Oryctolagus cuniculus: one gene and its partners. The protein of the gene in region 1 purifies or fractionates together with the protein of each later gene. This does not show direct contact. Links are inferred from orthologs where the notes say so. Each region holds a gene or a part of one and is shown on either strand. Other genes may lie near its edges. The genes, in order: PDE6D, INPP5E and FBXO10.

Region 1 (3,742 bases):
ACGCTCCATCCTGATTCTCAGTGGAGTCTCCCTAACTCAAATAGACGGTCATCTTTGTGGAGGCGGGGACCATGTCTTCTACCCACTAAGTGCCCGACAAATCACAGAAGCAGAAAGCACGTTTGTTGAATTACCCAGAAGGAAAAGCTGAGTGCAGAGGGTGACAAGCTGGTGAAAAGCTGGGTGCAGAGGGGGACGAGAGGAAGAAAGTCCTAGGAAAACACACAGAGCATCTCCCAGCAAGCCCGGGCTCACCCTGCGATTTTACCCACTTCCTGAAATCACATCAAATGTCACCTTGAGTGACAAAGAAAGAACAAATCAAAAGACCAAGTCCTACCAAAACAAATATCACACACTTCCTCATCTGCCAGAAATCCACCGAATAAATGCTTTACCCAACCTCTGGGTGTTCCAACCTTGGATGGGCAAACTACTCAACAAGGCGGGCAGTAATCGCACTGCCATACTGCTAAAAATATCACCTCCCAGGCTGCGGGCGACAGACTCGGGGCCGAATCCTAACTCTGCCCCAACTTGCAGTGACCTGAGGCCGGTCTCTCGCCTCTCTGGGCCTCAATTCCCTCGCACGTAAAAACAGCAGGGGCAGGATTAGCAAATTCTTTCAAGCACCTTCCCGTATTGACAGAGCACACAATCGATAGCTCTCCTGGTCCGAGGCAGGAACACACCAGAGGTCCCCGCAAAACACGCAAACGGCGCCCCCGTCCAACAAACAAGCACGGTTTGAAGAAGTCGTTTTGTTACATTCTTTCGTGGTTTAATCAGTGTTTTTGTTGTTTGCAACCTTACCATGATTTGCAGGCGATTTCTGAGTTCCATGTAAACAGAAGTTAATTCTCTGTGGGCTGTCATCGTCTTTCACCGGGCCACAGGGTCTTCCCGCCTGGTTTTCAGTCTCGGGATGCAGAAACCACCGACCTTGCCGGCAGGTTTACGAATTTGCGCACACTGCGCGGCACACTGGAGCCTAAGTTACAGAGCCTCGGGACGCGACGAATGCTGGGATTTGTAGTCCCTGGGCCTCTCTGCTGCGTGCTGGGATCTGTGGTCCCCTGGCGCTCTACTGGAATTCTGGGAAATGTAGTCCTCTGCCCCTTCGCACAATGCAACCTGCGGTCGTCTCAGGAGACTAGTGAGCCCAGCAGCAGGAGCAGGCCCCTAGAGCCTCTGCAGATGTCAAGCCAAGCCCCCACTGGGGCTAACTCTAGGCAACAACACCCAGTGAAAATTTTGTCCTATGGGACTTCTCGGGGAGGGCGCTTCCCATGGATGCTCTTCGTCCCCCTGCGAAGCCGCTGAGCGTTGCTATTGGCTGGTGAGAATGCCAATCGCCGAGGCGGGCTTTCCATTGGCTTAGGGGCGGGCGCTCCGAGACCAGAGGGAAGGAGAAGGATCAGGAGCGGGAGCTGAGGGGAGGGAGAGGCCGGTCCGGGTCTGGCCGCTGCCTCTGCTTGCCCGAGGTCTCCAGGCCGGGCTGCGGCTCTGTGCTCGCTTCCTGGGCACGGTCCGCGAGGCTCCGCAGGGCAGCGTGAGAGAGCCGCGGGCGGCGGCCGCCGCAACATGTCAGCCAAGGACGAGCGGGCCAGGGAGATCCTGAGAGGCTTCAAACTGTATCCGCCCGGGAGCGGGGAGGGGCCGGGAGGACTTGGGAGGCGGTCGCTCCCTGAGGAGACCGGCCGGGGACTGGGGCGCCAGGTGGGCCCCCGAGGAGAGGGGCAGCGAGGGGGGACAGGAAGGGGCCGAGGTCCCAGGCCCCGGCGCCACGGGGCGCGGGAGGCGGGCACGGGGGCGTCCTGAGGGCGGAGGGGGACGTTGGCGGGAGCCGCGGGCACGGGGGCGAAGGAGCCCCGGGGCCTGGGCTGCGAGGGGCGCCGGGCGCCGGCGAGGGGTGTCGGGAAGCGGGCTGGGCTCGGAGCTGCGGCCGGGAGGGGCCGCGGCCCGCCGGGGAGGGCTGAGGGGGCGCGGCGGGCTGGCCTCGAAGCCCGGCGGCGTCTTTGGCGGGAAGCCCGCCCGGGGGAGCAGAGAAGTGACTGGGAGTGAACGACCTTGCGTGGGACCAGCGCCGATGCCTGGCATTAAATACTCTCGCCCCCCCCCCTCCACGCCTCACCCCGCCTCACCCCGTCTGGTTGCCACAACTTCTTCTGCTCACTTGTGGCTTCCAGGGCTGGAGTAGCAGAGGGCGGTGGGGGGGCGGGCGCCGCTCGCCTCTCGGCCCCTCGGGTCTTCCCTGCAGCCCGGCGAGGACGCGGAGCTCGCGGGTGGTGGGATGCCTCCAGGTGCCTTGGCCGGGGTGCCTTAGGGGTGCCTGCCGCCGGGTCGTGGCGGAGCTGTCCAGCAAGGGTTGGCTTGCGCTGGGGACCCGGTCAGGTGTGAAGTCCCTGCCTCGGGCCTGGGTGGAGCCGGTAGTTAGAGAGCTTTGTGTTTTCGTGGAGGGTTAGTCTGGCCAATGTGATCTTGCATATTCCAATTTTACATTCTCCTACTGACCTTAATCTCTTCTTAGCACCCTATCCGTTCAGTGAGGAACATTCTTAAATATCGCTTTGGGTGAAAATACCGGCATCGCTTTGGGGCCCCTCCCCTGGGTGCTTAGCAAAGCACTGTTCTCTGACCCCCACCTGTCGGGTTGTCACAGTGCCCATTTCACCCCTACACATTTGAATTATTTTGTCATAGCCAGAAACCAAGTTGGTAGTAGAACACAGTGCGAGAAGAGGGTCAGGAGGTTTGGGATGTACAGATGAAAATCTCCAGTGGAATCCTGTTAGGCTTGTTTAAAAACCCAAGGCTGTGTTAGCCTTGCAGACTTCATCCGTGCTCAGCTTTCAGTACTTTCATGTGGTGGAGTTTAGGAACAACCTCTCAAAGCTCCATGTTCCCTTCTGGGTTTCTCTTCATAATGGAGCCTCGACAGGGATAGGCATAGCTCAAGTGTTCGGAGAGCTATGACATGGATTTTATTTTTTCTCTTGCATACTTTATACTTAACATATGTGTTGCAGACAGTAAACCAGAGAATTTGAGATTTTGGATTGCAATTAATGTATTTCTGAAAACCCGGAAGGTGGCTTTTGAGCAAGGCAGAAAAGGAATGCTTGAGCTTCTCACCATTCGTTCAGTCTTGGCTCTTGAACTTGTTGAGAAAGAAGCGGAGGACAAATATGAAAGAGTAGAGAGCAGGAGGTGTCAGCCCACTGGCAGGAATGGGGAATTAACCAGTTCAGCCGTGATGTTGCTGCGTCGACAAACAGGCTTTCAGGGAAAGTTTGAGTGGAGCTAAGTAAGCCCTGAGACAGGAGAGCAGCCGCATAAAGTTGGGAAGCAGTGAAGTGAGAGTGCTGGTCCTCCGTGTCCTTTACTGGCATCTGAGGATTAAGAGAGAAAAGGAAAGCAAGAACCATAGGATTTGCTGCCTTGGAATTCTAGCTTTACATTCCTGACCCCATATCCCTGCACAACTTCTGTAACCTCTACCTCAGTTTTCTCATGTAAAAATAAGAATAATAATACCTGGTTGTGAGATGAAATGAATTGATCTCCAAAGTATTCAGAAAAGCACCTGGTGTAAGCATCGTGTGCTAGCTATTGTTGCGAGAGAAATTCCAGATCATTTCTCTTGCATTTTAGTATTGATCCTTTGCCTATGAAGTATGTTGCAAGTATTTTTTTCTCAATGTATTGCTTGTCCCCTTCTTTTGTTGAACAGGATTTTTAA
Region 2 (3,742 bases), on another chromosome or scaffold:
AGCGGCCGAGGCTGGACCAGGCCAAAGCCAGGAGCCAGGAACTCCCATCTGGGGCTCCCACGCCGGTGCAGGGGCTGTCCTCCGCTGCCTTCCCTGGCCACAGCAGGAAGATGGGAAGTGGAGCAGCCGGGACTCGAACCGGCACCCGTGTGGGATGCCGGCCCGGCAGGCGGGGGCTCTCCCGCTGCGCCCAGCGCCGCCCCGATGGGCTGTCTGCAGTGCGCCCTGGCTCAGCCTGGCCTTCTGCGCTGTGTCGGGGGTCCCCGGCCCCGGGTTCCCGCTTGTCCGTCACCCCGGGGCTCAGGGTCTCTCCTGAGGGAGCCTGCGGGGGGCCTCACGGGTGCCCGCTGTTGCCAACACGGCACAGCCCTGCCTGCGGCCCCATGGGCCCCGTCCTCATGTGGCGGCCTCGCCCAGGCTGGGACTCCGTCCATGTGGCCTCTCGGGGACGTGTGCGGCGCCCAGGCCCCTCCCTGCCCTCGGCTCCTGTGGGGGGATGGCTGTGTCCCTGCTGACCACGGGGAGACCCCCCCCAGGCCACTCAGGCCCCTGAAGTGACCGCCGTGCTCCCCGGTTTGCCGTCCCAGGCCTCCGCTCCCCCACGGGGAGCCCCAGCTCGGCGCGGTTGCGGCCCCAGCCGAGGTGGACGCCAGAGGTCCTGCCGTTGGTTTCGTTCCAGGCCTCTGCTGTCTCAGGGAGCTCCAGGCCAGGGAGGATCGGCCAGAGGAAGTACCCGCCTTTGAACTAGCCGCGTCCACGCGGGTTCCAGATGACCGGCGCCGAGAGCCCGGCTGAGCACCTGTGGCTCTGTCCCGAGAGGGCACGCCGGGCACCCCACGCCACCGTGCCTGCGGCTCGCCGCGGAAGTGACTGGAGCCCGGGGGGCTGGGCTGGGGCCGGCAGTGCCGTGGGCGGAGCTCTGGGACCAGGGCAGTGCTGCCCTGGCCGTGGGAGCCTGGCCGGGTGACCGACCCAAGGACGTCTGGAGTCTGCCCCGCCTCGCTCTCTGTAGCCTCTTTAGGGTCGTGGGGGCAGGAGCGGGGAGCCATGCCCGAGGGGGGCCAGGAGCTGGGGCCTCCTCGCGCGCTCCAGGGCCCTGGCCGGCGCGGTCTGCGGGGGTCTCCGGGCTGCCTTGAGCCCCCGCCCCGCCCCGCCCCGCCCCGCCCCGCCCCGCCCCAGCTTTAAGGCTTTCTCGACTGTTGGTTGCGGCCGTCCTTGGCACCACCGAGGCCCCGTAGAGCGGGTGTGCGGGGGCCCTGGGCGGATGCCCCCAGCCCACCTGTCCCAGGAGAGCGGACGCCCGTGTGCCTGGCCGGCGGCTGCGTGGCGCCCGCTGCTGGGGCGAGACCCCGGCTGCGGCCCCTCTAGCCGAGCCCGGACCTCTGCCCACGACTGCCCACGTTGAAGAAGCTTCCTGCTCACCACGGGAGCTGCTATTTTTCCTAAATGAAAATGGTTTCACTGCAGATTGTTAAATAAAATATTTTGTGCTCTCTGCCTTCACCTGGTCTGCTGGCCGCGGGCTTGGGGGTGTCCCACGGCCGGGAGCCCCCTCTGCGGGGACGTGGGCGGCAGCGGTCCTCCGGCCGCCAGGGGCGCTGTGGGCGCGCGGCCGGGCCGGGTGGACGCGGAGGCGGCGGGAGCGGCGCCGGCGCGAGCGCGAGGCCGGCCTGGAGGTGCGTGGGGCGCGATCTCGAGCCGGGGTGACCCTTGGGGCGAGGCGGGGCGGCCCCTGGCCGGACCGTTGCTCGGGGCGGGCCCGCCGGAAGCACTCCGAGCCGTCGCCCCTGCGGCCGGCGCTGGGCCTCCCGGGGCGCCGGGCGGCGGTTGCGGGGCGAGGGGCGCAGTGATGCGGGGCAGGCCGCCGCCCGGGACGAGGCGGCGGCTCGCCTAACAGCTCGGTCTTCCTGCAGGGGCTTGCGGGCAGCCAGCCATGCGGCGACCGCCGCCCCAGGAGGACCGCGCCAGGCCGCAGGGGCCGCCGCGGCGGGCTCCCTGCTCTGCGCCCGGCCGCGGGGCCCCGACGTTGCGCGTCCCCGCTGGCGCAGGTGGCCGCGGCCGGCGCTGAGCTGGGCCATGCCGTCGAAGGCCGAGGCGCCGCGACCCGCGGAGGGCAGGATGCCGCGGGGGCCGCCCCCGGCCGCGGACAAAGACCTCGCCGCGGGCCCGCAGGGGAGTCCCGGGCCGCCCGCCGCCGGTGCCGAGCCGCACGCCCAGGAGCAGCCCGTGGCTCCGCCGCCCGCGCGGCCCCGGCTGCAGCGCGCCCTGTCTCTGGACGACAAGGGCTGGCGGAGGCGGCGTTTTCGCAGCAGCCATGAGGACCTGGCCGCCCAGAACGGGGCCAGTCCGTCCCGCGGCCCCGCCTGGCCGCCGGCCCCCGGGGGCTCCCCACCCTGCCTCAGTGCCTCCTGGGGACACTGCCTCTCAGGAGTGGTGGGCGGCTCGGGGGGCAGCTCCCCCCGGCTCCCTGGCCTGCTGCCCCCACGCCCGCGGTCCACTGCGGACCTGGACGTGGCCTCCGACCGCCTGAGGTCGGCGCCCACAGTTGCCACGGACCTCGCCCAGCCCCCGCTCGCCCGGGCCCACAGCAGCCTGGGCCCCGGGCGGCCCCGGAGCCCCCTGGCCTGCGATGACCGGTCCCTGCTGTCCGCCAGGTCCTTCAGCCTCCTGGCGCCCATCCGCACCCAGGACGTCCGGAGCAGGTAGGAGGCCTGGCGGCGCCAGGAGCAGCCTGGGGAGGGCCCTGAGTGAGCCCGGTGGTCCCCCGGGGATTGTGCCGCCTTCCGGAAGTCGTGGGTGGTGGGCTGGAGGCGCCCTGCCTCCCTGGGGGGTGTGGTGGTCGCCGTGGGCTTGGGGGAGCGGCGGAGGTGGGGGCAGGAGGGGGCGGGGACGGCCCGAGGGAGTGGCCTTCGGAGTCCCCTTGGGCGAGAGGGTGTGGGCGGTGACACAGGGAGCAGGGTGAGCTCGCGTGGCCGTGGCGGTGTCCTAACGGTTGGGAAAATCCCAAAATTCGGACACTGCTTCCGGGTTCCGGGAGCTGCACCTGGGTGTCGGCACGCGGCCACGCCCCTTCTATCCCCGTCACCTGTGTCGGCTGCAGCCAGGGGCCCACGGAGCCAAACACGCGTGTGGTGCGGACGTCCTGGGCGGGAGTGGGGCCAGGCCAGGCTTGGCTGCTTGTTCACGTGCTTGAGAGGCAAAGGAGGCTGGGGGGGGGGGTCTTCCGTCCGCGGACCACTCCCCAGCTGGCTGGATGGCTGACCGGCTGGGGCTGGGCCAGGCTGGGCCCCAGGAGCCGGCAGCTCCGCCCGGCCTCCCGTGGGGGCAGGGCCCCAGCACTGGGCCGTCTTCTGCTGCCTCCCGGGCCACAGCAGGGAGCTGGATGGGACGTGGAGCAGCCGGGACTCGCAGGCGCCCACGTGGGTGCCGGTGTCCCAGGGGGCGGCCTAACCAGTGCTGGGGGGGAGGGGGGGCGTGAGCAGGGGTGGGTGCTGTTCTGGAACCCGGGTGCCTCCTGTCCACTGCCGACCCCCGCAGTGGGCCATGCACGCCCAGCTCGAGCCCCTGGTGGGGGCAGTGGGACGGCGCCCGCGGCCGTGGCCTGTTCTAGACGGAGGGTGTGTGACCCCTCGGGGAGGCGGAGCCCGGGGAGGTGTGCCCGCAGCCGCGCCCTGGTGACGCGAGGGACGCGGCCCTGTTCCGTCTGCCGTCCCTGCAGGAGCTACTTGGAGGGCAGCCTCCT
Region 3 (3,169 bases), on another chromosome or scaffold:
GCCCAGGCAGAGCCGACTCAGGCTCGCCCACCGGGGCGTGTGATTCAGGGCAGACTTGCCCACCCGTGTTGTCAGGGCTGACTCTGGGACCACCTTGTGCTCTCCCTGCCCGTAGCCTCAGGACTCTACGTCCAGAGCAGCGAGGCCCTGCACGTCACCGCCAACGTAATCCATGCCAATGGCGACCGGGGCATCACCGTGGCCCAGAGCAGCCAGCTCACCCGCGTGGCCAACAACAGCATCTCTTGCAACCGCCAGAGTGGGGTCAAGGTCGAGGCCCAGTGCAAGGTGGAGCTCCGGGGAAATGGCATCTATGACAACAGAGGCCACGGCGTCATCACCAAAGGCGACAGCACAGTCGTCATTGAAAACGACATCATCGGCAACCGGGGCAGCGGGCTGCAGCTGCTGCCCAGGTCCGACACCAAGGTGAGGGCGCGTGCACGGCTGCGGCATGTGCCCGACACCAAGGTAGGGTGTGTGCATGGCTGTGTGACACCAAGGTGAGGGCGCGTGCACGGCTGCGTGACGTGTGCCCGACACCAAGGTGAGGGCATGTGCACGGCTGTGTGACATGTGCCCGACACCAAGGTGAGGGCGTGTGCATGGCTGTGTGACGTGTGCCCGACACCAGGGTGAGGGTGTGTGCATGGCTGTGTGACACCAAGGTGAGGGCGCGTGCACGGCTGTGTGACGTGTGCCCGACACCAAGGTGAGGGCATGTGCACGGCTGTGTGACGAGTGCCCAACACCAAGGTGAGGGCATGTGCACGGCTGTGTGACGAGTGCCCAACACCAAGGTGAGGGTGTGTGCATGGCTGTGTGACATGTGCCCGACACCAAGGTAGGGTGTGTGCACAGCTGCGGCGTGTGCCCGACACCAAGGTGAGGGTGCGTGCACGGCTGTGTGACATGTGCCCGACACCAAGGTAGGGTGTGTGCACAGCTGCGGCGTGTGCCCGACACCAAGGTGAGGGTGCGTGCACGGCTGTGTGACATGTGCCCGACACCAAGGTAGGGTGTGTGCACAGCTGCGGCGTGTGCCCGACACCAAGGTGAGGGCGCGTGCACGGCTGCGGCGTGTGCCCCTCTGCCCAGCGCAGAAGCACGAGCTCCCAGCTCTGCAGGGGATGCCGTCCCTCCTGCCAAGACGTGCCCCTGGATATGCCAGTGGGGCCGCACATAGGAAGGGACGCGCAAGCTGGGCCCTGAAGGCTGAGTGAGAGTTCACCCACAGGAGGCCGGGGGTGCTAGAAGCCTCCTGAGGCGTCTTCCTGGTCCCGGGTCAGGGTCAGAACTATTTCAGCTCCCTTCCCCAGGAGAATGATCTGTGCACGATCCGGCATGCAGCGGGTGCTTCATAGACATCCTGCCTCAGGGCCTTTGCACATGCTCTTCCACGTGCGCTGGAAACCCCCTGCCCCAATTTTCCGAGTCCTCCAGCTGTCTGAGGCGCCTCTTAGGACGTCGGGGTAGCTGCCCCTCGCAGAGCCCCTCTTCCCGCAGTGCCGTACACCCATTCCTTCGCCTGTCTGCCTGCGCCTCACACCGTGAGCGCCGAGCTCCGTGTGCAGACCTCTGCGCTGGGGCCATTGCACGGCTTCCCCGACGGACCCGGTCCCTGCCCTGGTGGAATCGGGCCCCAGAGGCTCTGGTCAGCTCTGCAGCTGCACAAGCAGTGACAGGCGAGGAGCAGAGAACTCCTCGACTTGGCTTCCGAGTGCTGTGGAAACAGGGAGCGAGGGCCACACCGCGGCCTCAGTTGGGTCTCAGCAGCCCTGGCTTCCGGCACCAGCTTCCTCTCTACCAGCCCTTGCACGTGGCTTCTTCCTGGAATAACTCGCCCTTGCTCTGCACCTGGTAACTCTGACAGCTAACACATCACCTCCTCCAGGAAGCTTTCCCTGGTTCCTCCAGGCTGGTCTTCTTGCTCTTCCTTGAGTTCCTTTGGCTCTCGGCTGACCTACCTAGCTTATTATTTTTTAAGATTTATTTATTTATTTGAAAGTCAGAGCCGGTGCTGTGGCACAGAGGGTTAAGCAGCCTCCTGCAGTGCCGGCATCCCATACGGACACCAGTGTCCTGATGGCTCCACTTCCAGTCCAGCTCCCTGCTAATGCACCCGGGAAAGCAGCAGAAGACAACAGATGTCCTTGGGCCCCATACTCCCGTGGGAGACCCGGAAATAACTCTTTCTCTTTTGTCTTTGTCTTTTTTTTTTTTTAAAACATTTATTTATTTGAAAGCATTAGAGAGAAAGGAGAGAGACAAAGAGATCTTCCACCTGCTGTTTCACTCCCTAGCCACAATGGCTAGGGCTGTGCTAGGCTGAAGCCAAGAGCTTCTTCCAATCTCCCATGTGGGTGCAGGAGCCCAAGTACTTGGGCCATCTTCTACTGCTTTCCCAGGCTACAGCAGGGAGCTGGATAGGAAGCAGCGCCTATATGGGATGTCGGCATTGCAGGTGGCAGCTTTGTCTGCTACGCCACAGCCCTGGCCCCCACCTAGAATGTTTTACCACCTCGGTTTTATAGTTTACCATGTAAGTGACTCACTTGCCTGAGTCCCTGAGGTCTGACAAGCTGTGGCTGCCTCTCCCAGGTAATAAAGAACCGGATCCACTCATTCCGGGCCTACGGCATCGCAGTGCGGGGCCGCGCCAAGGCCCTGGTGCAGGATAACATCATCTTCCAGGGCAAGACCAGCAAGACCATCTTCCAGCAGATCGCAAACAACCGGGACTGTGTCATGCAGAACAACAAGTTCCTGGTCTTCAGGAAGAAGTAAGTGCCCAGCGCTGCCCGAACCATGAGGTCGCTGGGGAGCCAGACGCAGGCCTAGTGACCCGGCTGCCCTTGCCCCGGCGGCCTGGCCAGAGAACTTGTACCTGACTCCCTGGGAGGGAACAGACCTGAGCATCAGGGTATTTGGTTTCATGTCTCATCTCTGCCAGGTACTGGCTGTGTGACTTTGGGCAAGTTACTGAGACACCTCTGAGCCTTAGTGAAATCTAGTTGTTACTATCTCCCCTTTTGGCACCAACTTGGGATAAGGTCAGATCTGACTATCTGTAGTTTCACAAAAATGCTAGGTGCTCTTCCTGCTGCAGTACTTGTGTCTAGTACCTCTGCCTCAGTTCCCAGTTGCCTCCCACTCATCATCCCCAGAG

What was found.
Region 2: the proteins of PDE6D (region 1) and INPP5E purify together in Homo sapiens (affinity purification with mass spectrometry; 3 studies listed by BioGRID and IntAct, with this or other methods). This does not show direct contact. The link is inferred for Oryctolagus cuniculus from reciprocal best matches to the Homo sapiens genes PDE6D and INPP5E.
Region 3: the proteins of PDE6D (region 1) and FBXO10 purify together in Homo sapiens (affinity purification with mass spectrometry; 3 studies listed by BioGRID and IntAct, with this or other methods). This does not show direct contact. The link is inferred for Oryctolagus cuniculus from reciprocal best matches to the Homo sapiens genes PDE6D and FBXO10.

Annotation. Positions count from the first base shown.
Region 1 is NC_091434.1:7,549,561-7,553,302, forward strand, and holds the start of PDE6D (retinal rod rhodopsin-sensitive cGMP 3',5'-cyclic phosphodiesterase subunit delta), read left to right. Parts: upstream 1-1,374; 5' UTR 1,375-1,584; coding exon 1,585-1,634; exon of another isoform or gene 1,635-1,719; intron 1,720-3,742. UniProt on the Homo sapiens protein: Promotes the release of prenylated target proteins from cellular membranes. Modulates the activity of prenylated or palmitoylated Ras family members by regulating their subcellular location.
Region 2 is NC_091432.1:236,626,610-236,630,351, forward strand, and holds the start of INPP5E (phosphatidylinositol polyphosphate 5-phosphatase type IV), read left to right. Parts: upstream 1-1,493; 5' UTR 1,494-1,676; intron 1,677-1,913; 5' UTR 1,914-2,076; coding exon 2,077-2,702; intron 2,703-3,718; coding exon 3,719-3,742. Other genes in the region: protein transport protein Sec16A, read left to right, coding at 680-748. UniProt on the Homo sapiens protein: Phosphatidylinositol (PtdIns) phosphatase that specifically hydrolyzes the 5-phosphate of phosphatidylinositol-3,4,5-trisphosphate (PtdIns(3,4,5)P3), phosphatidylinositol 4,5-bisphosphate (PtdIns(4,5)P2) and phosphatidylinositol 3,5-bisphosphate (PtdIns(3,5)P2).
Region 3 is NC_091432.1:200,314,024-200,317,192, reverse strand, and holds part of FBXO10 (F-box only protein 10), read left to right. Parts: intron 1-115; coding exon 116-429; intron 430-2,601; coding exon 2,602-2,783; intron 2,784-3,169. UniProt on the Homo sapiens protein: Substrate-recognition component of the SCF (SKP1-CUL1-F-box protein)-type E3 ubiquitin ligase complex. Mediates the ubiquitination and degradation of BCL2, an antiapoptotic protein, thereby playing a role in apoptosis by controlling the stability of BCL2.